Saccharomyces cerevisiae S288C: one gene and its partners. Changing the gene in region 2 together with the main gene of any one other region gives a genetic interaction. Each region holds a gene or a part of one and is shown on either strand. Other genes may lie near its edges.

What was found.
Region 1: mutations in SPO23 (region 2) and CDC12 together harm fitness more than expected from each alone (negative genetic interaction), as found in Saccharomyces cerevisiae (one large-scale study listed by BioGRID).
Region 3: mutations in SPO23 (region 2) and TIM13 together harm fitness more than expected from each alone (negative genetic interaction), as found in Saccharomyces cerevisiae (2 studies listed by BioGRID).

What each region holds. Positions count from the first base shown.
Region 1 is NC_001140.6:326,338-330,096, forward strand, and holds CDC12 (septin CDC12), read right to left. Parts: upstream 1,700-3,759; coding exon 476-1,699; downstream 1-475. Other genes in the region: thioredoxin-disulfide reductase TRR2, read left to right, coding at 1-289; GGA2 (phosphatidylinositol 4-phosphate-binding protein), read left to right, coding at 1,966-3,723. UniProt on the Saccharomyces cerevisiae protein: Septins are GTPases involved in cytokinesis that assemble early in the cell cycle as a patch at the incipient bud site and form a ring approximate 15 minutes before bud emergence, which transforms into an hour-glass shaped collar of cortical filaments that spans both sides of the mother-bud neck.
Region 2 is NC_001134.8:716,955-720,713, reverse strand, and holds SPO23 (Spo23p), read right to left. Parts: upstream 1,682-3,759; coding exon 110-1,681; downstream 1-109. Other genes in the region: 3-deoxy-7-phosphoheptulonate synthase ARO4, read left to right, coding at 2,720-3,759. UniProt on the Saccharomyces cerevisiae protein: Regulates expression of PIS1.
Region 3 is NC_001139.9:856,335-859,217, reverse strand, and holds TIM13 (protein translocase subunit TIM13), read right to left. Parts: upstream 932-2,883; coding exon 614-931; downstream 1-613. Other genes in the region: QCR9 (ubiquinol--cytochrome-c reductase subunit 9), read left to right, coding at 1-155.

The DNA of each region.
Region 1 (3,759 bases), on a different chromosome or scaffold from region 2:
TATGTTGAGAATTAAGAATACTAAAAGTAATGTGGAGAACGATTTAGAAGTAAATGGACTATTTTACGCAATAGGTCACAGCCCTGCCACAGATATAGTTAAAGGACAAGTAGATGAAGAAGAGACGGGGTATATAAAAACTGTGCCTGGATCGTCTCTGACTTCTGTGCCAGGTTTTTTTGCTGCAGGTGACGTTCAGGACTCTAGGTATAGACAAGCAGTTACTTCTGCTGGTTCCGGATGCATTGCTGCTTTGGATGCAGAACGGTACCTAAGTGCCCAAGAGTAACGTGAAAAAACCGGTTTATTTTTGTTTTTACTGTTCGATTGTGTTACGTATTCTATGTTTTTTGAGATATATTTGAAATATTTTTATAAGATACATATATATATGTGCGTATTGCTGCGACAAAAGAAGAGACAAAGAGATAGGCGTTGAAATTGACGAGACAAAGAGGAAGACATTAATTAATCATCATTTTAAATGGGATTTTTTTACTTGCAAGCTTTTGACCTGCTCTTCTAGTTTTTTTACCTTTCCTTGAATTTCTTCCAAGTCACCGTTCAGTCTGATTCTTTCGTTAACAATGTTTTGCTCCCATTGTCTAAATCTTTGCTCCTCAGCTTTGACTTGGTCAGTGAAATACTTCTTCAATGCATTTTCTTCTTCTTTGTATCTAGGATTGTGTGACAATTTCCTTGCTGGTGCAATTGCTGGAAGAGTGAAATCTTCATTCCCCTCCCCGGTGTTCTCGTGACCCTCAAGTCTTAATCTTCTGTATGTTTCGTAATGCATTTCTTGGGTGGTAGAAATCAAATCTAATAGATAAGTCCTCAGTAACAGGGCTCTGAGCTTACGGAAATCACAATGAGAATCGTTTTCGATTTCCACAAGTCCCCAAGGATACTTCCTTGCAACTACCTGAGTGCCTTGCCCATTGTCAAATTTTTTTTCAGACCCTACTATGGCAAATGGCATTGCTTCTATCAACTGTCTTGCATGTTCAACAGCGGCAGAATCTGGATTACTGCCACTTTTGGCATCTTCCTTAGAATCAGCGTCTAATGGAGGCGTGAAAATACGAATTTCTTGAGCTTCTATTACTTGCCTGATTCTGGACTTGAACTGTTGTAATTCTTGGGCAGTCAATGTATCAGCTTTCGCAATAACTGGAATCAGATTGGCTCTGGTTGACAATCTCTTCATAGTCTCAATGTCAATTGGCTTTAAACCATGTCCAGTGGGCCTGATGAAGTACAGAACGGCATGAACTCTCAAGTCAAATTTCTTAGTACGGTACGGTTGCTGCTCTTGACGCATATAAGAATCGTGTTGATCATCAATAAAATCCACCAATGGTTGCCAGGCTTTGTTGTTATTCACGTTATCTCCAAAACCTGGGGTGTCGATGACATTAACGCGTAATTCGAAATGCTTCTCTTCCAGCAAAGCTCTTGTGATGTCGATTTCTACAGTCTTTCTGATGGGTTCTTGGCGGTGTTGCTGACCATCTGCCCTTTTCAAGACAGTCTGAAATAAGGTATTAATAAATGTAGTTTTACCCAATCCGCTCTCACCACATAACATCACGGTGAATGTACCACCTTCTTCATTAACAATTTTATAACGCTGGTTGGGAAGATTGGATATCCCTACAGGAGGAGGAACAGGGGCAGCAGTCGCAGTGGCAGCACTCATTATTTGATACAATATGTGATGTAGTTCGTTATCAATACTCTTCAGGTCAAGATCCTATATCTTGCTGCACCTTTCAAGACTTTGATCTACTCAAAACAAACAATGGTGATTTCGAAAAAAATTTCGGATTCTTCACTTTTCCAGCGCCCTGTTTTTTTTCTGTAATCACGATTGCAAAAAAAAGAGACTTACCATAGGACAATTTCCATAAACAAAACAAAGAGCAACATAACTCATAGCTGAATTGCTAATCGTGATACTGCATCATGTCCCATCCGCACTCACATAGCATATATTTGTCTGAGTTGCCCGTCAGGAAACCTCAAGCCTTGGGCAATCCTCTTTTGAGGAAGATTCAAAGAGCTTGCAGAATGTCACTTGCTGAACCAGACTTGGCGTTGAATCTTGACATTGCTGACTACATTAATGAAAAACAGGGCGCTGCCCCTAGGGATGCTGCCATTGCACTTGCTAAACTGATCAACAATAGAGAATCGCACGTGGCAATATTCGCGTTATCTCTATTAGACGTGCTTGTCAAGAATTGTGGATACCCATTCCACTTGCAAATTTCTAGAAAGGAATTTTTGAATGAACTGGTCAAGAGATTTCCAGGTCACCCACCATTACGTTATTCTAAGATTCAGAGATTGATTTTAACTGCTATTGAAGAATGGTATCAAACAATTTGTAAACACTCAAGCTACAAGAATGATATGGGTTATATTAGAGACATGCACCGTTTGTTGAAATATAAGGGTTATGCATTCCCCAAAATCAGTGAATCCGACCTAGCAGTTTTGAAGCCTAGTAATCAATTGAAGACCGCTAGTGAAATTCAAAAGGAGCAGGAAATTGCTCAAGCTGCAAAACTCGAAGAATTGATCAGGCGTGGTAAACCTGAAGATTTGAGGGAAGCTAACAAATTAATGAAAATCATGGCAGGGTTCAAAGAAGACAATGCCGTTCAAGCTAAACAGGCTATTTCCAGTGAATTGAACAAATTGAAGCGTAAAGCCGATTTGCTGAATGAAATGCTGGAATCACCTGACTCACAAAACTGGGATAACGAAACTACACAAGAACTTCACAGTGCATTAAAGGTAGCTCAACCAAAATTTCAAAAGATCATTGAGGAAGAACAGGAAGACGATGCGTTAGTGCAGGATCTATTGAAGTTTAATGATACAGTTAATCAACTATTGGAAAAATTCAACTTATTGAAAAACGGTGACTCCAACGCTGCTTCGCAGATACATCCAAGTCATGTTTCTGCTCCGTTACAACAATCTTCTGGTGCTTTAACGAATGAAATCAACTTAATCGATTTCAATGATTTGGACGAAGCGCCCTCTCAAGGCAACAACAATACCAACGGCACGGGTACACCAGCAGCAGCGGAAACATCTGTCAATGACTTATTGGGCGATTTGACCGATTTATCTATTTCGAACCCTTCAACCGCTAACCAAGCATCCTTTGGTCTGGGAGGCGATATCGTGTTGGGGTCCTCTCAACCCGCACCACCAGTTACTACTACTAACAACTCGAACAACACTTTAGATCTTTTGGGACTTTCAACTCCTCAATCGCCAACTAATTCCCAAGCAGTAAACAGTAGTGGGTTCGATCTTTTGATGGGATTTAATCCAACAACAGGTACTACTACTGCGCCCGCAAGAACCCTAGTCAATCAGTCTCCTAACTTGAAGATTGAGTTCGAAATATCTAGGGAGTCAAACTCAGTTATAAGGATAAAATCGTTCTTTACAAACTTAAGTTCGTCACCGATCTCCAACTTAGTGTTCTTATTAGCAGTCCCTAAGTCAATGTCTTTGAAATTGCAACCCCAATCGAGTAACTTTATGATTGGCAACGCTAAAGATGGTATCTCTCAAGAAGGTACAATTGAAAATGCGCCAGCTAACCCTTCAAAGGCTTTGAAAGTCAAGTGGAAGGTCAACTATTCTGTCAACTCCACCCAAGCTGAAGAAACTGCTGTTTTTACGTTACCTAATGTATAATCCTCTGGCGTTTCTTATCAATCCTTTCTCTTCTCT
Region 2 (3,759 bases):
TACGTAAATACATAGTAGAATAAGAAACTAATAAAAAATAGTATATGTATATCATGCAAATAAAAAAAAAAAGGATAAAATAGAGGCGTTGTTCTGAGGTACCGAACATTCATAAGCTATTCTCACCTGCTACCATAGAATATAGTGGGGGTTCATCTTGTAGATCACTAATATTTTCAAATTTTTCATATTTGGGTAACAAAGAGCTGGTCGAAATATCACTATCGCCAACTAAAATTGGAAAATTCACCGTAATACGATAATTTTTTTTCATTTCAAGCCCTTCCACCAATTCATTCCTGCTATAGGTTATTCTGAACAAAAGCAAATGAGTTACTTTGAGGGCAGCATGATTGGGATAAAATGAACTTGGTTCACAGTAGAATGTTTTAAACCAGCTCGGTAGACCATCCGCATAGGTTGGGATGACAACGTCATCAAAGCAAAATCCGAAAATGGTCTTGTCGGAATCGAAACTTTGGCTTTCTACAGTTCTTAGTAAATACTCGGACTTTTTAATGTATGGCTCTCGTAGTATTTTCTTGGTCTTCAAATCAATACTTGGTATTGCCATTCTCTGTGCAACTGCCAAAGAAGCTTCCTGTAATTCAATGGAAGAATCTGTTTTGGTAATTGATAATATCATTTGGAAAGGCATACCAATTTCAATCAACTTGGAGTTTCCAATGACCGATACTACGATCTCACTTGCAGTATTGTATGACCTTAATTGAAATGTTTCAAACTTAAGCATACTCGTTGAAGGCAGGACTCTTTTAACTTTAATTTCTTCTGTTAAAATGATCTTATCTGTAAAACTTTCATTCTTCAAAAATTTGAGTAAGTTTTTAGGTTTACTTGGTATTCTCATTATTGTTGTTAAGCTTTCTATTCGAAAATGGGTCTTGCCAAAGAAGGAAGAGAAACTTGCTGGGAAAGTATTTGCTTGAAGGGTAAAAGTGAATGGGTAATCGTACGTGCCCTTTGTCAATAGAATTTTCTTATCATTTAATGAGTGGTGTATGACTCTCAACTGCTGTTTGGGGTAGGTGGAAGACTCAAAAAACTCTGTGTGATTAAGTTCTTTGATAATTTTGTCACTATAGGAGTTTTTGCTAGTTTCTGAATTTACAAAGCATGCATATTCCTTTGTGAAACATTTTAAAGAAATTGAATGGGAAGTGATTAAGAGGGCCTGGTCTTCTCTATCAATGTTTATCCTAATCTTTCCTTTGATTTGTAGAGGAGTGGCTCTTTCTCTTTCAACATTTGTAGATATATTATCCAGTGAGGAATCGTAATACAACGGATAGTCAGCATTCAATTGTAAATCGGAGAACATTAGTGTTTTGTACTTGTTATCTAGATACAATTCAATGCTGTAACCACATTTTTTATCTACAGATGATGTTACATAGGGATTTTCGTACAGCCGTAGTGAATCATAGCAATACTCAAGGTCTTCCTTAGCCTTCTTGATTGTAGTGCCACCATTTTTTAATTTCTTGAGTTGAATTAATTTTTTTGGTAGTTCACCACTGAAATCTTCATTACCAAAATGCTGCCTTATCTCGCTTTGTGTGGAACTTTCAGTCAGAGTAGTGGATCTACTAGATATATTTTCCGAGAACACTTGTGAAACCTCGGAATTAAGTGAAGAAGATGAAGACGAAAACAACATTAGTCAAACAAAAAAGGGAAATTCTATTTGTCTGATTTTGTTGCAAGATAACAATACTGGCAAACATGGGCTTGAGTGCTTAGGAAGAAATCTTGAGGTAGCAGTAACTTCTTTTTATTAAACAGTATGCAGCCGCCCAAAAAACTGCGATGTCGCCATTAGTTATTTTGTGACACAAAAACAAAATCGAAAACAAAAGAAATAGAAAGAAAAAGAAAAAAACAAAGGCTAAACAAGATTCCATTGTGCAGATTTAATGTTTACAATATAATTACATTCGCTCTTTTTGACCCCAGCTGCACAACCCACATAATTCGCATAAAACAATAACAATTGGCCTAACATAGATGCCAAACACACTTCTGACATAACTGAATGCTAGGGTAAAACTCCACACAGGTTTTTGAACACGAACTGCCAGTATACAGCTAGCCTTGAAAGTGATGGAAAACATTGTCATCGGCACATAAATAAAAAAATTATGAATCACGTGATCAACAGCAAATTATGTACTCGTATATATGCAAGCGCATTCCTTATATTGACACTCTTTCATTGGGCATGAGGCTGTGTAAACATAAGCTGTAACGGTCTCACGGAACACTGTGTAGTTGCATTACTGTCAGGCAGTTATGTTGCTTAATATAAAGGCAAAGGCATGGCAGAATCACTTTAAAACGTGGCCCCACCCGCTGCACCCTGTGCATTTTGTACGTTACTGCGAAATGACTCAACGATGAAATGAAAAAATTTTGCTTGAAATTTTGAAAAAAAGATGTGCGGGACGCATTGTTAGCTCATTGAATACATCGTGATCGAATCCAATCAATGTTTAATTTCATATTAATACAGAAACTTTTTCTCATACTTTCTTCTTCTTTTCATTGGTATATTATCTATATATCGTGTTAATTCCTCTTTCGTCATTTTTAGCATCGTTATAAGAGTAATTAAGAATAACTAGAAGAGTCTCTCTTTATATTCGTTTATTTTATATATTTAACCGCTAAATTTAGTAAACAAAAGAATCTATCAGAAATGAGTGAATCTCCAATGTTCGCTGCCAACGGCATGCCAAAGGTAAATCAAGGTGCTGAAGAAGATGTCAGAATTTTAGGTTACGACCCATTAGCTTCTCCAGCTCTCCTTCAAGTGCAAATCCCAGCCACACCAACTTCTTTGGAAACTGCCAAGAGAGGTAGAAGAGAAGCTATAGATATTATTACCGGTAAAGACGACAGAGTTCTTGTCATTGTCGGTCCTTGTTCCATCCATGATCTAGAAGCCGCTCAAGAATACGCTTTGAGATTAAAGAAATTGTCAGATGAATTAAAAGGTGATTTATCCATCATTATGAGAGCATACTTGGAGAAGCCAAGAACAACCGTCGGCTGGAAAGGTCTAATTAATGACCCTGATGTTAACAACACTTTCAACATCAACAAGGGTTTGCAATCCGCTAGACAATTGTTTGTCAACTTGACAAATATCGGTTTGCCAATTGGTTCTGAAATGCTTGATACCATTTCTCCTCAATACTTGGCTGATTTGGTCTCCTTCGGTGCCATTGGTGCCAGAACCACCGAATCTCAACTGCACAGAGAATTGGCCTCCGGTTTGTCTTTCCCAGTTGGTTTCAAGAACGGTACCGATGGTACCTTAAATGTTGCTGTGGATGCTTGTCAAGCCGCTGCTCATTCTCACCATTTCATGGGTGTTACTAAGCATGGTGTTGCTGCTATCACCACTACTAAGGGTAACGAACACTGCTTCGTTATTCTAAGAGGTGGTAAAAAGGGTACCAACTACGACGCTAAGTCCGTTGCAGAAGCTAAGGCTCAATTGCCTGCCGGTTCCAACGGTCTAATGATTGACTACTCTCACGGTAACTCCAATAAGGATTTCAGAAACCAACCAAAGGTCAATGACGTTGTTTGTGAGCAAATCGCTAACGGTGAAAACGCCATTACCGGTGTCATGATTGAATCAAACATCAACGAAGGTAACCAAGGCATCCCAGCCGAAGGTAAAGCCGGCTTGAAATATGGTGTTTCCATCACTGATGCTTGTATAGGTTG
Region 3 (2,883 bases), on a different chromosome or scaffold from region 2:
TTTTTGTTGGTACTATCTTTGCAGGTGCCTTTGTTTTCCAAACTGTATTTGATACTGCTATTACTTCATGGTACGAGAATCACAACAAAGGAAAATTATGGAAAGATGTCAAGGCTCGAATAGCTGCAGGCGATGGAGACGACGATGATGAGTAAACGCTGATTATGTCACACATATACGTGCAAACGCTCTCTCTCTCTCTCAAGCTATATAAGTGGCACTCGTCTTATTTATTATTTTTTTATTTTGGCTGGTTGTTCATGTTCAACCCAACCTCATAAAGGCACTCAACTTCATATTTTGACACAAATCTATGTCTCGCCAAAGCGCATTCAAATTTCAGAATGGAAATAGACACGAACGAGCCTGTCTGTCAGATGTTCACAAAATCCTTATTATAATTTTATATTCTACTAAAGGAAAAAGAGAATTAGGAAAAAGAATAACTCATTTTATGTATATACATATATTTTGTACATATCTATACCAAGCAAGTATAGTGCAATACTGTTCTTCGACGTTATTAAACGTAATAGCATTTTCTTGGTATCCTTTGAATCTTATATACAAGTACGAGTACATACTGCGCAGTAAATTGATCCTGATGGTGTGTTTAGATTTCGCCAGAAGCGGAGGCGTTCTGGATTCTGGAGATGTAAGCCTTTGATATGACATTCCAACTTCTCATATATTTAGCCAAACACTGGTCAATGCACGCATCGTTTCTGGTAGCGTATGGCGAAGTTAAGCATTTTTCAAAGCAGTTCTCAGAAATTTTGTTCACTAATTCAGTCGCATTAGCCACAGCCAGTTCTTGAGCAATTTGGTTTTTCAGCTCCTTGGCTATAGGGTTTGGGGTTGTCTTTGCAGTAGTGGCTGCTTCCTTTTGTTGTGATGGTGCACCGCCGCCAAAGATAGATGATAGACCCATTTTCTTGATTAAATAAGCTCAAACTGTTGTTGGAGAGAAAAGATTGATTGGTTTGAACTGACAGATATCCTACTTGAATCCTCTTTTTGTCGATTTTATAAATCTTAGGACCTAGGATTTTTTTACTCTTCGGCAACGCCAGGAAAACTAAGATACACCGGAAACAAGAGGAAGGAGATCAAGAATTAGCGTTGGCTAGTAATGTGACTAAAGGGGAAAGACATTGCTCTTTATTCGCTTATATTTTATTTGTTGTATTGATATGATCTCTTTCTGAATCTGTAGCGACCTGTCAAATCGTCAAGGGTATGGTTTAATGAGGAAGTGAAACCATAGCGCTAGCGCCAGTTCCAGGTTTGATACATAGCAAATCTATCATATGTACTCATAAATGCCATTTCAGAACTCATTTAGCAGTTTTGTTTTAGCTTGAACGTTATCAGAATTCTTGCGGGTAATACACCGGTGCAAAGTCCATTATCGACGGGAGAGATAACAGATGCAGGCTCCAAGAAAAGTGGTCATGGCTTTTATCACCAGGACAAACTAGCAAGGACAAACATTTTATTCGGATGATTGGATTTAACGGCTGGGCGAGTGGGTGATACCGCGGTGTTACCATCCTCTCGGTTACAACGTCACGTCTTTTTCTGTTTAACCCTTTTGTACTAACAAGGAATAAATTATATTCAATGAATTATGAACAGTCAAATGCGTATATATTGGCGCTCCACCTTTATTGTATATCAGATGAGGTAACATTACTTGTACCGCGCTCGCTTTCAACAAATAAGTGGTTGTTTGGCCGAGCGGTCTAAGGCGCCTGATTCAAGAAATATCTTGACCGCAGTTAACTGTGGGAATACTCAGGTATCGTAAGATGCAAGAGTTCGAATCTCTTAGCAACCAATAATTTTTTTTTCAATAATTAAGTACCAATTTCCTGCTAATGGGCAGGCCCACCTTTATTTCTTTTTTTTTCCATTAGAACGAGCATTTCAGGCAAGAAAGGGAACCGGCGAAGACGGGAAAGTGTACTTTTCACGAAACAAAGAAAATGAAGTACGCGTCTAGACTATTCCCATAATGTTTACGTTTCACAGAAATTGAGGAATCTGGAGATAAGGCAACGAGGACCACCTGAGTGTCGCCACTAGTACCTTGCTATACGAATATCCTGTGTGTGAGTGTTTACGCGTCTATGTGATTTCGCTTCCAGAGTGGTTGCCATGGCAAACTATTCAACCCGCTCTTTTTCTATCCAAAACCAACAACAGAACATGAGCAAGCCCCACTCCACTGAATATCTGGAGCGCCTCCACCGCTTGTGTGGTCTGCCCCCTTCTGCGAGGTCGCCTCTGAGCTTAATAAGCACCGTGCGCCTACCTTCGTTTCCCTTTTTGAGGGTACCCGCCCATACACCGCACCAATGGAACTAGCAGGTACGACCACCCAACACCAAGCACCGGAAACCGGACAGTGCAAGTTCTAGCACACTGAAAGCGGCGCACGAGAACGCGCTTTTCAGCGTGCGAGAACCACGTTTTGGCAGTTATTGTTCACCACAGCGTCTCTTGCCTTCCCGATGGGCGTTGTTGTGGCAACACCATCCTCTTTGCTTACTGTAATCGGTAGACGACGTCCGTTCCTTCCTTGGTCTCATGAAGCTCTGGCGTATAAAAACGGCGATTGAATCTTCAATGTTCCTAAAGTTTCATTCCTTATCTCTCATTTTCTTCATTTTTTGTCTCTTGGCTTTTCGATCAAAAAAAGACTATCAATAGATACATTGGTTTCTGACCCCACCTCTGTCCCCTTACACTATCAAATTTCACTTTTTTACTTTTTTTTTTTTTGCAAAAGGCCTTGTCTCGAAACAGAAAGAAAAAAAATTCATTTAAAAAGGGAAATAAAAAATTGCTAATACAAAAACAGATCTTTTTGAGCCACAC